Macaca fascicularis: one gene and its partners. The protein of the gene in region 1 purifies or fractionates together with the protein of each later gene. This does not show direct contact. Links are inferred from orthologs where the notes say so. Each region holds a gene or a part of one and is shown in the gene's direction. Other genes may lie near its edges. The genes, in order: HSP90B1, CANX and CALR.

Evidence for each region.
Region 2: the proteins of HSP90B1 (region 1) and CANX purify together in Homo sapiens (affinity purification with mass spectrometry; 4 studies listed by BioGRID and IntAct, with this or other methods). This does not show direct contact. The link is inferred for Macaca fascicularis from reciprocal best matches to the Homo sapiens genes HSP90B1 and CANX.
Region 3: the proteins of HSP90B1 (region 1) and CALR fractionate together in Homo sapiens (co-fractionation; 4 studies listed by BioGRID, with this or other methods). This does not show direct contact. The link is inferred for Macaca fascicularis from reciprocal best matches to the Homo sapiens genes HSP90B1 and CALR.

What each region holds. Positions count from the first base shown.
Region 1 is NC_088385.1:110,862,675-110,866,304, forward strand, and holds part of HSP90B1 (endoplasmin), read left to right. Parts: intron 1-885; coding exon 886-997; intron 998-1,548; coding exon 1,549-1,668; intron 1,669-2,723; coding exon 2,724-2,840; intron 2,841-3,630.
Region 2 is NC_088380.1:186,570,654-186,574,989, forward strand, and holds the start of CANX (calnexin), read left to right. Parts: upstream 1-1,428; 5' UTR 1,429-1,596; intron 1,597-3,527; 5' UTR 3,528-3,637; intron 3,638-4,336. UniProt on the Homo sapiens protein: Calcium-binding protein that interacts with newly synthesized monoglucosylated glycoproteins in the endoplasmic reticulum. It may act in assisting protein assembly and/or in the retention within the ER of unassembled protein subunits.
Region 3 is NC_088393.1:13,336,115-13,340,278, forward strand, and holds the start of CALR (calreticulin), read left to right. Parts: upstream 1-1,306; 5' UTR 1,307-1,377; coding exon 1,378-1,468; intron 1,469-1,829; coding exon 1,830-1,931; intron 1,932-2,123; coding exon 2,124-2,327; intron 2,328-2,749; coding exon 2,750-2,844; intron 2,845-2,936; coding exon 2,937-3,146; intron 3,147-3,233; coding exon 3,234-3,347; intron 3,348-3,436; coding exon 3,437-3,580; intron 3,581-4,164. UniProt on the Homo sapiens protein: Calcium-binding chaperone that promotes folding, oligomeric assembly and quality control in the endoplasmic reticulum (ER) via the calreticulin/calnexin cycle.

The sequences.
Region 1 (3,630 bases):
CTTAATCCCCAAATCACTAGAACATGTGCTCTGAGACCAGCGGCCTAGTCACTCACTAGGCTTTGTTGTCATATCATGGCTACTTACTGGCCAGGTACCACTAAACTAATGAGCCTTTTGAGACAGGGAGGGAACCACATATAGACCATTTCCCATACTTAATTGGCAACACAAATATCAAGATATGGACTGACTACTTACTGAGTGGGTTCTAGGCTGGGCACAGTGGCTCACACCTGTAATCCCCACACTGCCCGGTAGAATTTTATGTAATAGTAGAAATGTTCTATATCTGCACTTTCCATTTTGGCAACCACTAGCCACATGTGACTGTTGAGTACTTGGAATGTGGCAGCGTAACTGGAACTGAACTGTACATTTTTAAAAAATAAGTCACATGTGCCCAGTGGCTACCATTTTGGATAGTGCGGATATAAATATAAATAATCCAGATTAATTTGCTAGCTTTTCTAAGGAAAATGTTTTCATTAATTAGGAATAGTTATCTACAATATTCATTAGGTTTCTAGAATAACAGTAAGAGCTACGAGAGTGCATGACTCCATTTTTCTCCAGAATATTTCAGTGCTTTCTCACCTTGAGAAATGAAAACAAACAATCTATTCAGAAGGTTGAGGATATTTTAATTTTCTACTTAAAACAATGTTATTCTCCACTTGAGGTAATGTAGAGGAGATTCTTCTCTTTACTGTATATGTGTTACATTTTAGCTCACAAACCCTTGTTGGTGATGGAGAGTTAACACGAATAATTAGGACATCTTGGATTACACTGAACTGCTGGCTATTACCATGGTATTTAGATGAATTTATAATTGGATCTTCTAAATGTTAGGTGTCTCTAAACATCAAATTTTTCTTGCAGCCTTGTCTTAAAAGAAGAAGCATCTGATTACCTTGAATTGGATACAATTAAAAATCTCGTCAAAAAATATTCACAGTTCATAAACTTTCCTATTTATGTATGGAGCAGCAAGGTAAATCTATATTGACTAAAAACTTCTATGTATTACCTTGGCAACATGTTTAAATATTCAACACTAAAAGAATGAAGGCGGGCTGGCGCGGTGGCTCATGCTTGTAATCCCAGCACTTTGGGAGGCCGAGACAGGTGGATCACCTGAGGTCAGGAGTTTGAGACCAGCCTGGCCAACATGGTGAAACCTTGTCTCTACTAAAAATACAAAAAAATTAGTTGGGTGTATGGTAGCACATGCCTGTAATCCCCGCTACTCAGGAGGCTGAGGCAAGAGAATTGTTTGAACCTGGGAGACGGAGGTTGCAGTGAGCCGAGGTTGCCCCACTGTACTCCAACCTGGGCAGCAAAGCAAGACTCTGTCTCCCAAAAAAAAAAAAAAAAAAAAAGAATGAAGGCAAAATGTGGTCTATTATAATGTTAAGGATACTCGCAGGGTTTTCTTGCAAAAACCTATTTTTTTGAGCTGTAATGTTATGTCATATTTCTGTAGACAAAATCAGAATTGTTAAACAAATGGATTTAACCATAATTCTTCTTTTATTTCAACAGACTGAAACTGTTGAGGAGCCCATGGAGGAAGAAGAAGCAGCAAAAGAAGAGAAAGAAGAATCTGATGATGAAGCTGCAGTAGAGGAAGAAGAAGAAGAAAAGAAACCAAAAACTAAAAAAGTAAGTCTGGTTCATCTCCCTGCCTAAGATACCGTTTAACATGTATACGCAAAACCAGGAAAACCCAAGTATGCACTGGCTGAGTTGAAGTCAGCTTCAGTTCCAGTGCTAAGTCCATGGAGCCAGCTTTTAAAATAAGACCTTTGTATGTTGAGTACATTGTCCTGTAGAAAGTTTTAAGTATCAAACCCAGGTCATTTTTATGAAGAATTTTCTGACTTTTATATATTGCCTGGGACTGGTGACTTATATGTTTGGAATTTTAAAATCTTAAAAAGCTTTCTGAGACCTCTTTTGTCTTTTTATCATGTAGGGATTAACTATAAAAATGGTTCTCTGGCTTGCTTAGGTAGCAGAGTAAGAAGTATTGGTCATGGTGGTTGAGAAATATTTTGTAAAATGTTGGATTTCTTTAAGTCATGAAATACGAATATGTAATATGTATTTCCTTCTAACCTCAAAACAAATATTTTCAAGAAACATTTTTGCTAGTTAAAAATAACAATAAAAAACCTTAATTGGCTTTTCATCAATTAGCAATTATCTTTTTGAATTAAATATTGAGAAAAATACTTTGCTTTTGATACAGTTGGCAGAAACCTTCCCAGATAACAGGTATCCTTTAGTGAGTTGTTTTTTTTTTTAATCTGGAGACAGAGTCTCTGCCACTCCGGCTGGAGTGCAGTGGCATGATCGTAGCTCCCTTCATTCACCCTTGAACTCCTAGGCTTAAGCAGTCCTTTCACCTCAGCCTCCCAACTAGGTAGGACCACAGACACATGCCACCAACAGACACACCACCATGACTGGCTAATTTTTTAAAGTTTTTTGTAGAGATGGAGGTCTTGCTATGTTGCCTGGACTGGTCTTGAACTCCAAGCTCAAATAGTTCTCCTACCCTAGCCTCCCAAAGTGCTAGGATTACAGGCGTGAGCCACCACACCGGGCCTCTGGTGCTTTACATAGTCTTTTAAAATCTACTGAAGCCATGGTTACTGCTCGGATAACCTTGGTGACTGCTAAGAGAGACTAATCAAATACTATAATAACTTCAGGTTGAAAAAACTGTCTGGGACTGGGAACTTATGAATGATATCAAACCAATATGGCAGAGACCATCAAAAGAAGTAGAAGAAGATGAATACAAAGCTTTCTACAAATCATTTTCAAAGGTAAATATAATTCCCTAGCTTCTGGTTATTAATGAATCACCCTATTAGTTTAATTGTGTATGGTATGTGACCATTGAATATGAGATGGTCCATTCCCATTTTTTCCCAGAGAGAAAATTCAAAAAAAGACCTTTAGGCCAACTATAATACGTCTACTTCTGGTTTATTGACCTACTCGTAAGTAAAATCACATTTATGAACCTTTGAGATTGATATCTCAGTAAAGATGGTCTTTGAGAGTAATTGGTTTCCAGAACACACCATTTTTACTTAAGTTGAATTATTATGCTCATCACTACTTCAAAATTGCTGCAGTTATTAAAATTCGTCCTAGCTCTTGGTTAATATAATAGTACATTACAAAATCAAGAATGTTTGAAACAGTTTTCTGGCTGTTTAAACACAATTGGTTTCCTTTTTATTGCTGTGTATTTTGTAATATGTGGTTTTTAAAAAAAAAATTATTTCGAGAAGGCATCTGTAGGCTTCACCAGCTTGCCAAGGGTTTTGTATGACAAAAAAAGATTAAGAACCACCTACATAGGTAGATGTGTGATTTCCACCACAAAACCCGTAAAACATGAAATCATGTTGTTAAGTGGCTTTTAATATAATCTTTAAAGAGCTTGCTTACGACATCAAACACTTATTGTGAGATCCTATGCCTAGGAATAATTACCAAATTTATGTTTCCTTGCCTGTTTTTTTTTTTTTTCCTTTTACTGATCCCTTCTTGTAACTCTTAAGAATGCAAAACTAGCATTGATAAAGGTTGTTTCAAGTTAGTTTC
Region 2 (4,336 bases), on another chromosome or scaffold:
TCATTATTTGGATCGTGTACCATCCAGAATTTTATTCTGCTTTGAATAGCTGCTTCCCCAGGTAGACAGGAAACCAAAATTCTCCTACACAAATTTTGGGGCTGAGGGCAGGGCGCCTGGCTCATGCCTGTAATCCCAGCACTTTGGGAGGGGCGAAACAGGTTGATCACCTGAGGCCAGCCTGGCCAACATGGTGAAACCCATCTCTACTAAAAATACAAAAATTAGCCGGGCGTGGTGGCAGGCGTGTGTAATCCAAGCGACTCGGAAGGCTGAGGGAGAATCGCTTGAACCCGGGAGGCGGAGGTTGTAGTGAGCTAAGATCGCACCACTGCACTCCAGCCTGAGCGACAGAGCAAGACTTCGTCTCAAAAAATAAAAATAAAAATAAAAAATTGGGGAGCTGAGGGTTGGATGATACTAACTCATGCAAACACCAAACCCTGCCTTTCTTCCCCTTCCAGGTGGCAAGAGGGCTTTGAGATCAGTGATACATCCGCTGATTCTAGTGTTTTCCACCCAAGTTTTCAAGCCTGTGGGTGTCCAAACAGAGGACAAGAGATCAAGATCTCTAAAGGTCTAGAAAAACCCGGGGCCACTTCCATTTTGTGAGGTTCTCAGCATACTGAAAACTGAAGACGTGCTAAGAGTGGGTTACTAAAATGGTGGCGTATCTGAAATCTTTCCACGGCACCATGCCTTCTCTCATCCTGTCATCCCTGTATCTCAGGGCTCATCCTCTGCCCTGACCCCTAATCTCACTTCAGGAAACATAAATTGAAAGTTCAGATAACCTCGGATTGTGTTACTCTGGATTGTGTGTTATGCTGGGCGACGAGGCTGCGCAGGCTCCTGCGCCGAGCCATGACTCTGCAGGAACTGCGGCGCCGGCTCACACGGCGCGGAGCGGGGCACGGCTGGCCGGCCAGGCGCCCGCGCTGCGTTCTGCTCACGCCCATAGGGGCCCGCGTTCGCTGCAACCGGCCCTCCTTGATGGCTGATCGTCGCACTCCCACCCCTCCCGCCTGCTGCCGTTTGCCCCGTCAGCTAAGGGCGCGCGATGCGTCCCAAGTCTCGGCTCCAGCAACCAGACGGGTGAGGGCCGCTGGGGGTTGGGTTGGAACGCCCCCGAAGGCACCACGGCAACCGAGCGCGGGAACGCCTGTTAAGCCAGCCCCGCCCCGGGACGCGCGCGCCCGGCGCTCTCGATCCAGCGTGGCCCGCCCCTCACCTCCCGCCCAACCAACAGCCACTTCCTGCCTCACTCCCGACCAATCGTCACACTCCACGAAGAATAGCCGTAGGGGGCGTATGGGACGGTGCGTAGAGCGATGCCCACGCCGGCCAACCGGATGTCGGGGCTTGCGCGGGTGGGCGGGACTTGGCGCCGGCTGTGGCTACTGAGGGGCCAGGGGCGGGCGCAGGGCCGGGCTTAGTGCGGTGGGGCTCGCTCGCGCGGCAGCGGTGTCCGAGGCCTGTTGGTTCTGCGGCACGTGACGGTCGGGCCGCCTCCGCCTCTGTCTTTACTGCGGCGCGGGGCCAGGTGTGCGGGCGGGAAGGGGCACGGGCAGCCCCGCGGTCCCCGGGAGGCTAGAGGTGAGACGGGAGACCTGAGTGCGTCCTCGGGCCTGTGAGGACCCCGGGGGCTGGGAGCGCCTCTGCGGCTGAGGGGTCGGGCGTGGCCGGGGACTGAGGGGTCGGGCTGGCTCTTGAGGGCCCAGGCCCTGTCCGACGCGCCCGCGGTGAGCGGGGAGGCCCGAATTCGGGCCTCTTTGGTTGGGGAGCGGGCCCAGGCCGCGCGGCCGGGGTCGGGAGGCGTGGCAGGTGGCCCTACAGCCTTCCTTGACCTCTGGGAAAGCTGACTTATTCCTATGGCTTTGCTTCTAGGGCTTTCTTAGGCCTCTTTGCCTGCTGCCTGGCAGCCGCGAGGTGGGCTGGAGTAACTGGGTAAAAGTGTGGAGTGGAATCGGGCCTGCTGGGTACCCCTAGCAGTAGGGAAGGATGGTGTTAGACCGAGGGGGAATGTTTAGGATTAGCGTTACAGTTTAGTATTTGAAAATCCAAAGAGTAGACTGGACCCTAGCTCCCTGAAGAGAAAGGGGAATGTACTAGAAGGAGAACACGCAGTGGTTGAGAAACTTGACAGTTACAGCACCTATTCTGGAGGAGAGTCATCCAGTTGGAGATGGACAGGGCGTTAAAAGCAGGAAAGCACCCGAAAACTCATCTCATGCATCTGTTTTTACAGGGGAGGCCTAGAGGTATGAAATGACTGGCCCAAGGTCATGCGATTAGTTTAATGATGGTGCTGGGATTATAGTTCAGGGATAGGCAGTGCAGTGGTTAACGTTAAGGCCCTGGCTCAAGTCTTTCATTGGTCATTTGTTGCTCTGTGAACTTCGGCAGGTTTCTTACCCTTTGTGCCCCCGTTCTTGTCAAGTGATGGATATAATAATACCTGATGGATCTGTGAGGATTACATTCAGATATGTATACAATAAGGGAAGTCTGACATTTAGTAACTGCCCTATAATTACTGCAATACATTATTATAATCTGAATGCCTTTGGACCAATACACTGCCATCCTAGTGAACTGGTTCAGTCCTGTTTCCCAGGACCTGAAGTCACAGTTATGGTGATGGAAGAAACTGGGCATTGTGTATTAACTGTTAGGTATGACACAAGTGATTGCTGGTTGAGGGAAGTTAAACTGAGCTTAATATTAAAAGATTGAGAGGACAAGATGAACTATAGTTAAGTCTTTTTACCTCTGATTTAGGAAATGGAATATTTTGCTTAATTTTTTAATTAGATTTTTTTAAGGGGGAAGAATTTTATTGATCTTTAAAATCATTCTGTATCTCAGTCTTTTCCCAATATTGTTTGAGGGTCATGAATAGAATCAACTGCCATGTTAATCAACTGTTGTACATTTGGTGTAATTATACTTAGAGCAGAGGTAAAGGACTATGTGGGAGTTCTTTGCATCAACCAGGGTGCACAAACAAGCCAGGTAACTGGGTCATGAGAATGCCCGAGTGAACTGTGTGTGGGGTCAGTGTTGCACAACAGAAATTTTCTGACTTGGCTGCAGGTGGGTGTCAGCATTCCCCCACACCTTACTATCTTGACTCCACAGTTCATTTAGCGCATTATCTTCTCAGGGCCACAAGGGGTAAATGTTTTGACAAAAGTCGTTGCTGCCGTTTTGGCAATCACACTATTGCATCCTTGTAGTTAGAGTTCTCTTTGCCCTGGAAGACAGCTTAAGGGGATGAAGTGGCAGTTGGTGAGCATGAATTGCAGGCTCATGAAACTTGAATTGTGGGCCCAGTATGGTAGCTTTTTTTTTCTTTTTGAGGCGGAGTCTCGCTCTGTCACCCAGGCTGGAGTGCAGTGGCACGATCTTGGCTCACCGCAAGCTCTGCCTCCTGGGTTCACGCCATTCTCCTGCCTCACCCTACCGAGTAGCTGAGACTACAGGCACCCACCACCACACCCGGCTAATTTTTTTGTATTTTTCAGTAGAGACGGAGTTTCACCGTGTTAGCCATGATGGTCACGATCTCCTGACCTCGTGAACCACCCGCCTCAGCCTCCCAGAGTGCTGGGATTACAGGCGTGAGCCACCACCGGTAGCTTTTGTCCTACTTTTGTTTCCGTAACTTTAGGAATACGAAGTCTGCTGGGTTCTTCACCTTTAGGGGGCAATTGGGAGGGGCAGATAAAACGATGAACATGGAACTAGTTTAAAAAGTGTAATGAATTGGCTGGGCACGGTGGCTCTCACGCCTGTAGTTCGAGCACTTTGGGAGGCTAAGGTGGGCAGATTACTTGAGGCCAGGAGTTGGTGACCAGCCTCGCCAACATGGTGAAACCCTGTCTCTACTAAAAATACAGAAAAAAATTAACCTCTAGCTACTCTGGAGGCTGAGGCAGGAGAATCACTGAACCTGAAAGGCGGAGGTTGCAGTGAGTGGAGATGGTGCCATTGCACTCCAGCCTGGGTGACAGAGTGAGACTCCATCTCAGAAAAAAAAAAAAAAAAAGTGTAATGAACTGTGGAAATAGAATACATAGTTCATAATAACGCCTAGGAAATAATGAAAGTACCTAAACACAGTTATAGCCTATATAGCTTATGGTGAAACTTGTCAGGAAAGTCCTGGTTGAATTCTTTGTTACTGCAACAGATGTACTTTTTTTTTTTTTTTTTTTTGAGACTGAGTCTCCCTCTGTCACCCATGCTGGAGTGCAGTGGTGTTATCTTGGCTCACTGCAACCGCCGCTTCCCGGGTTCAAGCAATTCTCCTGCTTCAACCTCCCAAGTAGCT
Region 3 (4,164 bases), on another chromosome or scaffold:
TCATTCCCCCACTCCACTTTGTTTTCCTTTTCATTTTTTCCTTCCTCCCTTTTCTGAGTCACAACCATTAGCCAGGAAGCACCCCCTCCTCACCCTCTTTCCTGGATCCCCCTCATTCCCTCCTTCCATAGTCCACTCCCGTGTTCCCAGGTCCAGGGCTTATTTGCCCAGAGTTTGGAAAACCCCCAGATCTCCTTTCTACAGCGTGGGGGCAGGGTACTGGTGCCAGTCACGTGCCTCTGGCTTCAGAAGACTCCAGACTGGGGTGGGGTGGGGGGGTCCTGCCCATCTCCCTAGCACCTTATCTTCGCTACCATCTGTGTCTTTTTTCCCTCCCCAAACGGAACCCCCTGCCCTCTCGCCTATAGTCGTTTAATTGCAAAAGCCAGGCCGTTTGTGGGAGACCACAGACAGCGACCTCCTTCATTTACCGGTTGAGACGAGAGTAAAGGGGCTGCTGCAATCTGGGTAATAACCCTATCCCCACCCCAGGAGTCACAGTCACATCGTTAAGTCTTCCTCCCCTCTTGTCCCAGGCCAGCTTTAAAAACGTTAACAGCATTTCTGCTGGGTAGCACCTGGCCAGGGTCACCCCCTCTGTCTGCTCAGGAACGTCTGTCACTTCAGAGAGGTTAAGTGACTTGCCCCAGTCACACAGCAGCAGTCTGATAGGCTGCCAGGGCCCTAGGGGCAGAATGAGGAGAGGGCTGGCATTCTTCCCACTGGCCCGCGTGGCTGTAGCACCGGGGTGCAGCGTAGCCCCAGGGCCCCAACCCATGAGCTCTCTCCTATCCTGGGCGGGGGTTGGGGAGCAGCAGTGGGGTGCTGGTTCCCAAATGCAAGATAAGAACTGGCTAGGAAAGCCTTGCCCAGCCCCTCCACCTAGAGGGAACGGGAGGAAGAGAAGCTGAGGCGGGGTCCCGATCCCGCGTGGAAACACCTGCGCTCCCGCGGGTTCTTTAAACGCTCAGATGGGGAACGACGCGCACGGGCAAGGGCGGTCTTAGGTTCAGGTCTGGTCACATGACCTGGCCTGAGGGGCTCGCGGCCCCCACCCCACCAGTGGGCGTCCCCCACAACGCGTGGTCGACCATCATTGGTCAGTGGTGAGGCCAATAGAAATCGGCCATCTGGGAACCCAGCGTTCCGAGGCGCAGCCTAACCTAGTGAACTGACGAAGGTCCAATGGAAAGAGACGGCCGTGGGCGCAGGCCAATGATAAAGTGTCAGGGGCGGGCCCAAGGGCTGGGTCAGGTTGGTTTGAGAGGCGGGTGGGTATAAAAATGCAAGGCGGGCGGCGGCGTCCGTCCGTACTGCAGAGCCGCCGCCGGAGGGTCGTTTTAAAGGGCCCGCGCGCCGCCGCCCCCTCGGCCCGCCATGCTGCTATCCGTGCCGCTGCTGCTCGGCCTCCTCGGCTTGGCCGCCGCCGAGCCCGCCGTCTACTTCAAGGAGCAGTTTCTGGACGGAGGTAACGCCTGGTCCCACCTCGAGGCCGTCCCGGCGACGCGGCCGGCCCCCCATCTCGGATCTGCGTCGTCGCCCGTAATTACCGCTTAGAGGGCCAACACAGTGGTCCCCGGCGACTGGAGCTGCGGGCGATCCCTCTTCTGCGTCCCTGGGGAACGCGGAAGGCGTAGCGGCCTCCCGCGGCGGGAGTTAGGGTTCGCCCGAGGATCGCTGAAGGCACCCGACGTGTCAACTAGAGGTTGGGGTGGGGAGAGTCGGGGATCTCCTTCCCTGTCCCCAGCAGCTTGTGGTTCTCCGCAGATACTTGGTGTGGGGGGGATTAGCAGAGCCGCGCTGACCTAACTCTCTAACCCCCCACTTAGACGGGTGGACTTCCCGCTGGATCGAATCCAAACACAAGTCAGATTTTGGCAAATTCGTCCTCAGTTCCGGCAAGTTCTACGGTGACGAGGAGAAAGATAAAGGTAAGAGCTTAGGAGTGGGTGCTCAGATCCGCGAGGACTTCCTGGCAGAAGTCCTTGTCCGCACATACACAGCCGGGACAGTCCCCTAGGAGCAGGGCAGGTGGAGGAAGTGGGGGAGTCGTCTGTATCGTCTAAATCGAGGATCCTCGCGGGTCAGGACCCAACGGTGACCACACTACCGTCCCGTCTCAGGTTTGCAGACAAGCCAGGATGCACGCTTTTATGCTCTGTCGGCCAGTTTCGAGCCTTTCAGCAACAAAGGCCAGACGCTGGTGGTGCAGTTCACGGTGAAACATGAGCAGAACATCGACTGTGGGGGCGGTTATGTGAAGCTGTTTCCTAATAGTTTGGACCAGACGGACATGCACGGAGACTCAGAATACAACATCATGTTTGGTGAGGGGCTGCTTCCTGGTGCTGACCTCTGTCCCATTAGTTGGAGGGAGACCCAGACCCCATTGACTTTCTTAATAGTTATGATTGTCTTTGGAAGGGGCGCTAAAATAATTAAGTCACAGCAACAATTTATTGCGTTATGATCGCAGATCTAGGCTGTTAATTAATTTGTGTCATTGTATATAGTTATTTCCCAATCTTACAAATGAGGATGTTGAGTTCTAGAGCACTGATTTTTTTTTTTTAATTTAAACTTAAGGCTTCACCCACAACCCATTCAGGACAGAATCAGGGTCTGAGTTTCTCTTTTCAGCCTTGACAGACCCGAGTTTAGGAACCAGGTCTTCCTTTTGTAAAGAGGGGTGAGGAACTCGAAATGGTGGGTAGTCTCTGACTTTTAACTGGATCTGCTTCACACCTAGGTCCTGATATCTGTGGCCCCGGCACCAAGAAGGTTCACGTCATCTTCAACTACAAGGGCAAAAACGTGCTGATCAACAAGGACATCCGTTGCAAGGTGTGCCTGGGGGTGGTGGCAAATGGGTGTCATGGGGAGGTTCAGAGGTCAGCCTGATTGAGGGGGGGCTGCTCACCTTCTTCCTTCTTCAGGATGACGAGTTTACACACCTGTACACACTGATTGTGCGGCCAGACAACACTTATGAGGTGAAGATTGACAACAGCCAGGTGGAGTCGGGCTCCTTGGAAGACGATTGGGACTTCCTGCCACCCAAGAAGATAAAGGATCCTGATGCTTCAAAACCTGAAGACTGGGATGAGCGGGCCAAGATCGATGATCCCACAGACTCCAAGCCTGAGGTTGGTGTTTGGGTGGGGGCTCTGCTCTCCACATTGGAGGGTGTGAGGACATTTGGGCCAACTCTGACCTCTTCATCTATCCTCCAGGACTGGGACAAGCCCGAGCATATCCCTGACCCCGATGCTAAGAAACCCGAGGACTGGGATGAAGAGATGGATGGAGAGTGGGAACCCCCAGTGATTCAGAACCCTGAGTACAAGGTGAGTTTGGGGCTCTGAGCAGGGCTGGGGCTCACAGTGGGGAGTGCACCAACCTTACTCACCCTCTAGTTCCCTTCTTCCTTCTGCAGGGTGAGTGGAAGCCCCGGCAGATCGACAACCCAGATTACAAGGGCACTTGGATCCACCCAGAAATTGACAATCCCGAGTACTCTCCTGATCCCAGTATCTATGCCTATGATAACTTTGGTGTGCTGGGCCTGGACCTCTGGCAGGTGAGACTTGGAGGAAAAAGGAGGATCCCTGGGGTACCTCAAGTGCATAAGATCACCCAAGGGGAAAGTGACAGGATACGATCACACCCCAGGCGGGTCTGACTCAAAAATGGTACTTTTTGTAAACAGTACTTCCTGGTCTGTCCCTGTGGAGTCCTCACAGCAATGCTTTTGAGGTTGTACTTCTTGTGAACTAAGTACTTCCCCAAGTACTTTTATGCAAATCAACTTCTTTAAATACCCCCAAAGAACTAGAAGGTGGTCAGGTAACCCACTTAGTTAGCTGGGGCTGGGCACAGTGGCTCACCCTTATAATCACAGTACTTTGGGAGACTGAGGCAGGAGGATTGCTTGAGGCCAAGAGTTAGACAACCTTGCTTGGCAACGTAGTGAGGAGACCCTATCTCTACAATTTTTTTTTTTTTTTTTGAGACGGAGTCTCACTCTGTCCCCCTTGCTGGAGTGCAGTGGCCGGATCTCAGCTCACTGCAAGCTCCGCCTCCCGGGTTCAGGCCATTCTCCTGCCTCAGCCTCCCGAGTAGCTGGGACTACAGGTGCCCGCCACCTCGCCCGGCTAGTTTTTT